Oryzias latipes: one gene and its partners. The protein of the gene in region 1 purifies or fractionates together with the protein of each later gene. This does not show direct contact. Links are inferred from orthologs where the notes say so. Each region holds a gene or a part of one and is shown on either strand. Other genes may lie near its edges.

Evidence for each region.
Region 2: the proteins of lrch3 (region 1) and dyrk1a purify together in Homo sapiens (affinity purification with mass spectrometry; 3 studies listed by BioGRID and IntAct, counting the BioPlex papers as one, with this or other methods). This does not show direct contact. The link is inferred for Oryzias latipes from reciprocal best matches to the Homo sapiens genes LRCH3 and DYRK1A.
Region 3: the proteins of lrch3 (region 1) and sugt1 purify together in Homo sapiens (co-immunoprecipitation; 3 studies listed by BioGRID and IntAct, counting the BioPlex papers as one, with this or other methods). This does not show direct contact. The link is inferred for Oryzias latipes from reciprocal best matches to the Homo sapiens genes LRCH3 and SUGT1.

What each region holds. Positions count from the first base shown.
Region 1 is NC_019871.2:14,529-18,757, reverse strand, and holds the start of lrch3 (leucine-rich repeat and calponin homology domain-containing protein 3), read left to right. Parts: upstream 1-1,358; 5' UTR 1,359-1,461; coding exon 1,462-1,720; intron 1,721-2,916; coding exon 2,917-3,061; intron 3,062-4,197; coding exon 4,198-4,229. UniProt on the Homo sapiens protein: As part of the DISP complex, may regulate the association of septins with actin and thereby regulate the actin cytoskeleton.
Region 2 is NC_019871.2:12,328,057-12,331,707, forward strand, and holds part of dyrk1a (dual specificity tyrosine-phosphorylation-regulated kinase 1A), read left to right. Parts: intron 1-1,040; coding exon 1,041-1,237; intron 1,238-1,494; coding exon 1,495-1,587; intron 1,588-1,903; coding exon 1,904-2,092; intron 2,093-2,254; coding exon 2,255-2,402; intron 2,403-2,491; coding exon 2,492-2,778; intron 2,779-2,903; coding exon 2,904-3,050; intron 3,051-3,270; coding exon 3,271-3,411; intron 3,412-3,521; coding exon 3,522-3,651. UniProt on the Homo sapiens protein: Dual-specificity kinase which possesses both serine/threonine and tyrosine kinase activities. Exhibits a substrate preference for proline at position P+1 and arginine at position P-3.
Region 3 is NC_019875.2:17,058,345-17,061,995, reverse strand, and holds part of sugt1 (protein SGT1 homolog), read right to left. Parts: intron 845-3,651; coding exon 737-844; intron 1-736. UniProt on the Homo sapiens protein: May play a role in ubiquitination and subsequent proteasomal degradation of target proteins.

The DNA of each region.
Region 1 (4,229 bases):
CACCGATCTATCTTCAAAGTCTTGGTCTCTTCATGATGATGAGTTCTGATCCAGATTCCAGCTCAGACTAGGAACACAAAGACGGTCATGGATCTGTTGGTCTGCAGGTGGATAATCAGAAAGGGGCGGAGCATGGAGACTTTGGTCCCGCCCATTTCACTGACTGCATTTTTAATCTGCTCCTGATTTGAATCAAGAAATCAGAAATGCAGTTTTGATCCTAAATGTTCTCCATCGTGGCAAAAATGCTGCGAGAACACCAAAACCATTTTCAGTAGAGTGGCTCTTTAGCTTTTATTTTCCCAGAGTTCTGATGTTGTGGGTTGGCCGGTGCAGGTCTGTGGAGACGTTCTTCCATCCAGGTGGATTCAGTCTATAGACATGAACCGGTTCTAAAGACCAGACGGTTCTGAGTCATGGGGGTCAGTTGGTAGGCGGTTGTGGACAGATGCAGGTTTCTATGAAGGTCATTATTTAAAGCTAAGTGACTTCTATTCCTGACCGCAGGGCGGCCTGTGGTCCTGTTTATTCAAGACAGACGACCTTTAATGTGATTCGTTTGGATTGAAGAGAAGCTGATGGTTCTGCTGACAGAGGTGGAAGAAGGAGGAGCAACACCATGGAGGGGCGGAGCTACAGACTGAAAGAAACGGCATCTCCCTGAAACCACACAAACACAACACACACACGCATATCCACACAAACACAACACACACGCATATCCACACAAACACAACAAAAAAATGTTATTTTAGGACGGCAGAAAAAGTTTTTACAACTTAACTTTAATGAGAGTTTCATAGCGATCACATTGTTAACCAGACGACTGAATTTCTCTAAATGATACCTTACTGTACTGTACTGTACTGTACTGTACTGTACTGTACTGTACTGTACTGTACTGTGAGTTCTGTACTGTACTGTGAGTTTAGTTTATATTTAACCTTTTAGCACCATGGTGACATCACTGTAACAGTAAAATATCTGAAATACATCCTGTGGTTCTTGGTTTGTAGCCGAACACACATAATTGAATTTCTAAGAGTTTTTTAGAGTAACCCTCTGGTGTGTTGATGTTGTATGCTCATGTGCCTGTTGCACTGTAGTGCTATGGAGTGATATTTATGCCACCATGTTACTACACACAAAACTAAAAGTATTAAATATTTGCTTTCAAAAAAATGTTTTGCTTTCAAGCATCACTCCATATACGTTTAGTGTTTTGTTTTACGTATTGTTCACAATAAAGTTTAGTTTAGAAGAATTGTTGTTAGCCAGAAAAATAATCCAAAAAATTGTTGTGATCCCGCGGTGCGCGGTGCGCATGCGCTGCTCCAAGTTCAAGGTGGGAGCCAGCCCAGCTAGCTGTCAGCATCGCGGTGCGCATGCGCCGCTCCGAGTTCAGGGTGGGAGCCAGCCCAGCTAGCTGTTAGCAACGAAAGCTAGCAGGCGGAGCGTGTAATGGCGGCCTCGGTGTTGCTGGGGTCTGCGGACGGATCCAGGCTTAATTTCATCCCCGGAGGCGGCGGCGGCTGCGAGAATGCGGCAGTCGGGAACTCTAACGGACTGGGCCCACCCGGGCCGGCGCCCTGGAACCGCTCTGTGGACCGCGCGCTGGACGAAGCGTCGGTGACCGGCTGCCTGAACCTCAGCGGCAGGAAGCTGAAGGAGTTTCCTCGGAGCTCCAACAACCACGACCTGACGGACACCACCAGGGCCGGTAAGTGCGCGTCAGGGCTCCAGGCGGACCGGAACCGCTGCCGCTTATCGGTTCCCTTAGGAAACCCGGGACCGTCCGGAGTTCGTGAAAAGTTTGAATCCAAGTGTTTGCCTCCGGGGCAGATGGATGGACCGTCAGGGCGGTGCTGGGAGAGTTTCTGCCCCCGAGCTGAGACGGGCTGGCCCCGATTTCGGTTGTTTGAACCCAGAACCGGGACCCTCGTGTTTGTGACGGTGCTGTTTGAGTCCAGTTCGGCCGGACCTTCAGCTGGATGGATGCGCGTGAATACGTGTGGGGGGGATGGGGGCGCGCGCGTGCCCGCCCGATGGGGTCTACCACCTGTCAGGGTTCAGCGGGGAAACAACCAGACAGGTGGACTTGGTGCCGGTTCGGCCGAACCGGAACCGCGGCGGCTGCGCTGCCGGGAAAGAGGAACAAACCGGTTTGGTTTCCATCACGGTCAGTGACGGTTGACCTACCGAAGCTCCGCCCCCCGCGGCTCTGCGCGCCGCTCCGAGTGACAAAACAAACGCACGTCAAACGATTTTCTTCGGTTTTCTAACGGAAAGATGTTCCGGTTCTTGTGTTAGCCCGGTGGAACCCAAAAGCCTCCATGCAGTCAGCTGGGCTTCCTCCTCCTCATCCTCATCACGACCGATTCGGTTCAGCCGGATCAGGAGCGTCCTGCAGGTGTTCATGACTCCGTCATCATGTGACCTGTGGTTACCTTGACGACGGCGTCCGTCCCTGGATGAAGGTTCCTCGCTGCAAACACAGGCGGCCGCAGAAGGAGGACCCTGGTGTCGCGGATGCAGCTGATCGGATCCGTCGGCCTGTCCGGCGCCCCCTGAAGGAACGTGAGCAGAAACGGGTTCTGTCCGTCTCTATAAAGATCTGGAGATTCTGGCCTCACGATGGAGGGTTCTGGTGGGCTGGAGGCCAGAAAGGACCTGCTGACACTAAGCAGACTAATTCTAGTGCATGAAGGAGTCTGGTCCACCACTCCACGGCTGCGTCTCTAAAAGTAAACTGCATCCACTGCTGCTCTAAACCGTCCGTTAGAGGGAGGAATGGCTGCTGTCCTTCTCAGCTGAAGGTCTCTGCAGGGACAGCAGACCCAGGCGGTTCCAGACGTCCCGGCCGCGTGCGTCTCCTTTCACTCAGGCATCAAACCCGCGCTGTGCGTCTGTCCTCAGATCTGTCCCGGAACCGTCTGTCCGAGCTCCCTCTGGAGGTCTGCGTCTTCGTGTCTCTGGAGAGTCTGAACCTCTACCAGAACTGTCTGCGCTCTCTTCCGGACAGCCTGCTGAACCTGCAGGCCCTGACCTACCTGAACCTCAGGTAACACCACACACACACAAACACACACACACAAACACACACACTTCCTCGCCAACACAACGCGGCAGCAGAAATGGGCGGAGTCTGGGAACGTTTTAAAGTCCCATGCCGATCATCTTCTGACATCTGAGCGTTCTTTCCAGGATGGTTCTGCTAGCTTACAGCCCCTAACATTAGCGGGGCAATAACAACAGTATCAGAGCGTCCAGTTCTGATCCAGATTCCAGCACAAGCCCGGCTGGTTCTCCTTCACCACGGCTGGTTTAAAGCAGGTTCTGGAACATCAACCAGAACTAAACTCCAGAACCCAATCCATCAGACTCTGTATGATCCACGTTACTCCTAAAGGAACCGGCATATCTAGATTAATATTGATGTTCCTCACTGGGACTGAAGCTCGCCGGCTGACTGGGTTCTGTTGGGTTCTGGGTTCTGACTCGGCCTGTGGATTGAACCCGAGTCACAAATCTACGATTGACAGCAGAATTGTCATTATTTAACCCAAAGATGTCTGAATGTGTCTTCTTACTGGATGAAAGTATTTGTGTCTTTATGTGGAGCTGAAGATCAACCAAAGATTCAGAGAGAAAGAAAGATTTTCATCACTTCAGGTTTTCTGCCAACTTCCTGGTTAACTTCAGCAGGAAACGAAACCTAAACATTGTTGTTGTTTTGGATCATTTCACAACAAACGAACAAACAGCTCTGTAGAAATAGAACAACTAGAAAAGGCTCGCAGTCCAAACGTTTAAACCGACGTCTGTGTTTCCAACAGACACGTTTTCATATTTAGAGGAAAATAATGACAAGATTATTGTAATATTCCTACATTAACCTGATTTTTTATTTTATTCTCTATTCTGTTTTTATTCTAATCTATTAATTTTAGTTTTTTTCAGTAAACTAAACTTGAGTCACTTTAATCGACAAAAAACACTGGAGACTTTTACTTTGAAGTTTTGTTACTTCCTGTCCCAGTCGCATTTACCCGTTTACACGTATTTTCGCTGCGTTTGGTTTATAAAGATCTCAGACGTCACCAATACTCGGACTGGTATTTTGGGGAACAGGTGGTGAGTATCCGAGTATTCGGATACTCTGTGCAGCCCTAGTTCTGACCCGTCTGTGTGCTGCAGCCGGAACCAGCTGTCCTTCCTCCCCCCGGTGG
Region 2 (3,651 bases), about 12 Mb from region 1:
AAATAAGTCAAATACGTAGCGCCTTATAGCACCTCAAATATAGTGTTGCTCTCTGCTCATCTTACAGCTCCTTTTATTTCTGTCAGTGGACGGGTATTTCTTTACTTTTCTAAAGCTGGGTCAGCTTTCTTATGCTCTCATATGAAGTGCAGGTTTTAGGCTGTGCAGCTATTTTGCTGTCAGGCTCTTGTGTTGAAAGCAACGTCTAAGTGTGCCAAAGTTCAATTTTATTTCTTGTTTATTTCTTGTTTTCTCATTGGAAAATGGGAGCAGCTCTGCCCTGGCAACAAAAGTAGGCTATTTGCATACTGCGTTGTGATTGGTCTGTGCGTTGATGGGCTTGCCAAATCACGCTGTATCTCTGTGGTGATAGGCTATGCTAATTAGGTGCTGTTGCTGGGATTCTGAATAGTGGTTACTGTGTAGCACTGGTGAATTGTGTTGTCTGGTGAGAGATGCTGATAGCTGAACATGCTATTTAATAATTTTTTGATTCCTTCTGGCTTAAAATGAAGGATGATTCACCGTACAGTGTGGAGATGCTGTATTCTCACCCCTTTTCACTGTTAAACTGGCTGTTTTTTCCCCTTTTCCTCACAAAGGTTGACATATTTCTGCTGTGTTTTGATTTTTTTGGGGTTGTCCTTTGATTGCATTGTTTAACGTGTACATGTTTAACATAGCACTGTGTATAAACCTGACATTTAATTCTTTAATTTACTAGATTTTGCTGTTTTTGTTGGTGTTTATCATCATTTGAGATTGATTATTAACACAAATGTAAATAATGCTGTTAATTTGCATTTATAAATTCCTATAGATAATTTCTTTTCATCTTAAACTAAGCTGAAGTTTTTTTTGTAAATCTAAACAACAAATAATGTTTCTTTATTATATTGTTTTACCTGTAAATAACATAATACATCTTGCTGGCTTTCTTTGTAGCGTTAAATCTCTGATGACCTCTTTTATTTTCCTTTTTCACTTTTGTATGTTTCTCTGTTCAATGACTTTAAAGGGAACTTTAATTTCCTTTTTAGGAGGAGAGACTTCAGCATGCAAACCTTCGTCCGTCCGGCTTGCGCCCTCTTTTTCTTTACACACTGCTGGTCTTCAGATGGCTGCTCCAATGCCCCATACGCACCAGCAGTACAGTGACCGCCACCAGCCAACCACTGACCAATCTGTTACGGTTTTACCGTACAGCGACCAGACACCACAGCTCACTGCCAATCAGGTACAATCACCCTTCCCACTGCCCTTTTAGGATTTACAGGAATAGCTAAACTTAATTGCACACAAAAGTTTGCTCCCTTTTTTTAAACAAGTATCACTAGGCAGAGTAGCTGCATGTCAAATGTCTTTCTGTGTAATTGTGTCACATTGTGTTAACAGCTTTGAAGTTTAAACACAAACCCTGTAAGAGGAACTTTTTACTTCTAAAGTTGTGTTTCTTTTGTTTGTTTGTAAAATGTTGTTGTACTTTTATTTCAGAGGCACATGCCCCAGTGCTTTCGTGACCCAACTTCAGCTCCCCTGAGGAAGCTCTCCATCGACCTTATCAAAACATACAAACACATCAATGAGGTGAGGCTTTGCTTTAGTAAAAGTTCAAATCATTCTTTGACATTTGTTTTCCCCTTGTTTTAAGATGTTTGCTATTTCAACATTCTTTTTTTTTAAATTGGTAGTCTTTATTATTTTATGAATTTGTTGTTCATAAAGATAGATATTTTTAATTTATAAGAAAAAAACATTATTATTCATTTAAAAAAACAGGAATTTTATACATGAAAAACCTAATTTGTTGGAGCAAAATCCAAAGGAACATTTAACATTTCCTGAAGAAATCTCTGCATGTGCTTTTCTGAAATGCATTCAATTTTCTTTTTTTCTTTTTCAGGTTTATTATGCAAAAAAGAAGCGGCGGCACCAACAGGGTCAGGGTGAAGACTCCAGTCACAAAAAGGAGAGGAAGGTTTTCAATGATGGCTATGACGATGATAACTATGACTACATCGTCAAGAATGGGGAGAAGTGGATGGACCGCTATGAGATCGATTCCTTAATAGGAAAAGGATCATTCGGACAGGTGAGGAATTAAAACTGACAGTCTGTTATTTGTCCACTTCTAAGGGGTTCCAGCTTTCTGACCTTCCTTTTTTTGGTTTTAAATCTTGATGTTTAGTGTAACAAATGTGCTTCAGATATAATACTTTTAACATATTTAATACTGGTTTTGTTCAATTCTCAGGTTGTGAAAGCTTATGACCGAGTAGAGCAAGAATGGGTTGCCATTAAGATCATTAAGAACAAGAAAGCTTTCCTTAATCAAGCCCAGATTGAAGTGCGCCTTCTGGAGCTTATGAACAAACATGATACGGAGATGAAATACTATATTGGTAATTTACTTTTGATGTCCCACATACAGAACAAATCCAACGGCTTGCAGTGTCAGCGACTAACGCGTCCAATTTTTGTTTCTTTGCAGTCCACCTGAAACGTCACTTCATGTTCCGTAACCATCTCTGCCTCGTGTTTGAAATGCTGTCATATAATTTATACGACCTGCTTCGAAATACCAACTTCCGCGGCGTCTCACTCAATCTCACCCGGAAGTTTGCCCAGCAGCTATGCACGGCACTACTCTTCCTGGCCACCCCCGAGCTCAGCATCATCCACTGTGACCTGAAGCCCGAGAACATCCTCCTTTGTAACCCCAAGAGGAGTGCCATCAAAATAGTGGACTTTGGCAGTTCATGCCAACTGGGACAAAGGGTATCTACCATCATATATTTCATCTGCTATACAGTCTATGTGTGTTTGTGAGAAATGGTTTGCAATTTTCAACAAAAGCAATGCGCTTTACAGTCACCCTCACTTCCCACGCTTTGTGTTTGTAGATATACCAGTATATCCAGAGTCGCTTCTACCGTTCTCCAGAAGTGTTGCTGGGAATGCCCTATGACCTGGCCATCGACATGTGGTCCTTGGGTTGCATCTTGGTAGAGATGCATACCGGAGAGCCTCTATTTAGTGGAGCCAATGAGGTATAAAACATGATAAAAATATCAAAGACATATGTGGAGCTTATTGATAACAGGAATATCGAAAAGTCACCTTGTTTGTAGTTCTTCAATAAAAAAGTACCCTTAAAACTGGATTTGTAAGCCGTGGTGTGTTCCTACAAGAGCTTAGAAGCATTTTGACATTTACCCTCATTTATAATGAGTGCAAATACTTATTAAAAGATGCATTTGGTTTCTTCAGGTGGACCAGATGAACAAAATAGTCGAGGTTCTTGGCATCCCACCCAATCACATAATGGACCTAGCCCCAAAAGCCAGGAAGTTCTTTGAGAAGCTTTCAGATGGTACATGGAGTGTTAAGAAGACCAAAGATGGCAAAAGGGTGAGTTGACAGCTTTAACGCCAACTGATGGGTGCTGATGACGGAACTGTCTTGTTTGATGTCTTGATATGCACATTAAAAAGCTTTACATGTCTTTGGTTTCTTTGTAGTATAAGCCTCCAGCTTCGCGGAAGCTCCACTCCATCTTAGGTGTGGAGACGGGCGGTCCTGGTGGCCGACGGGCAGGGGAGTCTGGCCACGCTGTTGCTGACTACTTGAAGTTCAAGGACCTGATCCTCC
Region 3 (3,651 bases), on another chromosome or scaffold:
TTAGTTTTAAATACCTCAAAACAAGATTAATGAGTATTTATGTTGGCAATAAACTGGTTTGAGTAGAACTTGGTCCCTTTTTTCTCTTCGTAAATCCTTACGATCAGATCTTCTTTATAGCGTGATAAAATGCGATGTTTGACAGCCTGCTCCTTTATTGTTGAGTGCGCTTAGAAGACATTCCCAGCATCCTCAGTGAAACTGAATCACTTTACCCCGACGTTCACAAACTTAACCGAGACCTAAGCTCCTTTTTTTTTGGGCGTTTTGAGCACAAAGCAGCCTCAAATTCACCAACAGATCTATTTTAGTCACAGATGAAAAAATGGATGCATTTGTCATGGCAAATAGCAACGCCGTTAGTCTGGACTGGAATGCTTCCCTACATACAAGGCGTGTGCTTCTGTAGACTTCAAAGACAGACTGCAGCCTGACTTTCCTGCTCCATGAGCCTTTTCCCCTTCTGCCTCATAAGCTCTATCCCTTCATATCACCACACCTTTAGATTCTACATTTACAAATTTAAAAAAAGTTATTAAATAAATCAACAAACACATCTGGTGAGTCTGAAAGCTTTCAAATGTGACTAGATTTTCCTCTCCAAAAAGTCTTTCACAGATGACAAAAATGTTCAATTGGATGTGGAATATGTAAAGCTGCAAACGTTACAGCAATAATCTCCTTATCCAGTGTGATGGCTCCCATTAGCACATTTGATCCAAGCTGAGGGTGATACCTTAGTCGTGAGGACCTTGAAGCTGCTCTGCTGGGGGAGGATGGGGTGCAGCAGGTGGAGGTGGAGGTTGTAGTTCTCCCCACATGGCAGCTGCATCTCTGCAGAGAGCTAAAAATACGAGACAGCAGATATTACTTTCTTTTTTTTCCTCCTTCAAAAGGTTCATCTGTAGAGAATAAGCAAACCGACATGTTTGTAAGGACTTATTGAATGAGGCACGCGGATATTAAGACGGAACACGTACACAACAAAATCAGCCTATATTATTTTTTTCTGCCCGACACAAAAGAAATGAGGAAACAGGAAGAAAGAAAAGGAGGTGAAGGTGTGAGTTTATTCATGGAGGTTATCGTCTGATAAACTGGTGTACCTGCACCACGCCAGCTCACTGATAAGTGGGGGGGTTTGCACATTCTATGATGTCACTCAAATGTTTGTTGATTTAGAAAGACAAGGGTACAGCTTCAACCCTGTAATCATACTTCTAGAAAAGTGCTACTCTGTTTCTTCTTTGACTGCAGATACTATCCATCATTCTATGCTGTTATACTATAAAATACTATGATAAGCTTGTTTTACCACAGCAGGCTCTGTTTCGGCAAGGTGTTTGCACTTTTCCATCAAAATACAATGATGGGAGTCAATATGCTGCAAAAGTGATTTGCAGGAAAATACACAACGGTGTGTGCTTTGTGTTGAAAGCAACTGCTGGTGTCAATTCCTTCTTTTAACATCTAAACCGGATAAAAGTTTTTAATGTAAGCTTTTATTTCTGCGTTTCAACTTTTTTTTTAATCAATAGCAAAAAAAATATTTAAAAAAGGCTTTTTATAACCAAACGGTCAGTTTTGAGAGGAAGTTCAGCAAAAAAAAAAAGAAAAAAAAAAAAAAGAAATGAACAAATAAATAAATTGAAAGTGAATCGTGAATCCAAATCATACTGATTTTGTGCTTTGGCTGCCAGCCTGAATATGAAGGAAATCGAAAGGATGTTCAGATGACCGGATGATATAACAGATTGTTTTTCATCCCTTTAACACCAGAGCTTTAGCTCCAGTGCTGCCATTCAATCAACTACTGTAACTATTCAACCGTTTATGCATTTAGTGCAGTTTCAGCGGAGATTAAGCCTTGCACTGATTATGCAACACTTTACAGCAGTGAAGTGCTAACGTGCTCGATGTAAAGCAGCTGATTTTGTTGCGGAAAAAAAAATTAAATAAAATTAAAAATAACAGTATTGCGCTGTTATGCAAGCAAAACACTCTGTTAGTCATGTTAAAAAGTAAATAAACGCTTTTCTGCTCATCAAAATAAGATAAATCCTGTTGATCCCGGAAACAGTCGAATAGTTACGGTATTATAACGAGTTTTCGTTATTTAGGTTTTGCCGGAGCAATCTTCAGTTTTAAAGTGTGTAATGGAAATAATTATCAATGGAGGCCCAGACTATGATACTGTCACCAATAGTATGGTACACATAGATGATAAAGACTCTCCCCTGATTCACACATGGGCAAATTTTTGTTTTATTTTTTACAGTGCTCAGCATAAATGAGTACACCCCACTACATTTGTCAGAAAACCTTTAGTGTCCTTTCAGAGTCAACATTTACTGTGAAACACTACAAAAATAGTCCGTTGATTGCAAACAAGATATGTTAAAGTGTACAGCGCACACAAAAAAGTGATTTTCCTAACAAATTAATTCAAGTCCATGCTGCAATAATGAGTACACCCCAGTTATAGTTTTAGGAGAAAATTGTAGTAGGTTTAGGGGATGTCATCTGGACTTTGTTTTAAGTTTGAAGACGTTTCACCTCTTATCCATGAGGCTTTGTCAATTCTGAATTAGCTGGTCGAAGAACTGGTATATATGCACTCATGGGGGAGGAGTCAGACCTGAAACTGGATGGTATTGTCAACTTAGCCTACAGGTTTCTGGTCGTTAAGAGTCCTTTGTCCTCAGCTGGGGGTTGGGGAGCCAGTGACTCCCTCCCCAAACTGGTCAACCCTTTCAGCTACTAACGACCCAGGTGGAACTGGTTTGGTTTGTTTAGGTTTCAAGACACCGCCGTAGATGGATGGAAGAATAAAACTGAGAGCACCATTCTTATTAAGAGAAGATTTATCCTTCTTGACAAAGATGGCTTCTTTCACTCCTCGCTCAAACCACCCTTTGTCTCTGGCTAGAATTCGGACTTCACTGTCCTCGAATGAGTGGTTTGTGGCCTTCAGGTGGAGGTGCACTGTAGACTCAGGTCCACTTGGGTTGGCTCTGCGATGTTGGTAAAGCTGCTTGTGTAGAGGTTGTTTGGTTTCTCCTATATACTGTTCCTTGCAGTTCTCTTTGCAGTGGATAGAGTACACAACATTACTCTGTTTTTAGCTGGGAATTTTGTCCTTTGGATGAACCAGTTTTTGTCTGAGAGTATTAACTGGTTTGAGATGAACTGGGATGTTATGTTGTTTGAAAATCCTTTTTAGTTTTTCAGACAGGCCTGAGATATACGGAATTGAAATACTGTTCCTTTTCGGCTCTTGTTCCTTCTTGTCTTGTTTTTCTATATGTTGGGATCTGGTGAATGCCCAGTTGGGATATCCACCGGTTCGGAGGGCTCGGCGGATATGTTGCTCTTCTTTCTTCTTTCCCTCAGAGCTTGTGGGCACCTCCTGGGCTCAGTGTTGCAGTGTCACGATAACGCCTAGTTTGTGCTGTAAGGGGTGGTTTGAGTCAAATAACAGGTACTGTTACAAAGGACTCTTAACGACCCGAAACCATGTAGGCTAAGTTGACAATACCATCCAGTTTGACTCCTCCCCCATGAGCGCATATATACCAGCTCTTGGACCAGCTAATTCAGAATTGACAAAGCCTCATGGATAAGAGGTGAAACGTCTTCTAACTTTAAAAC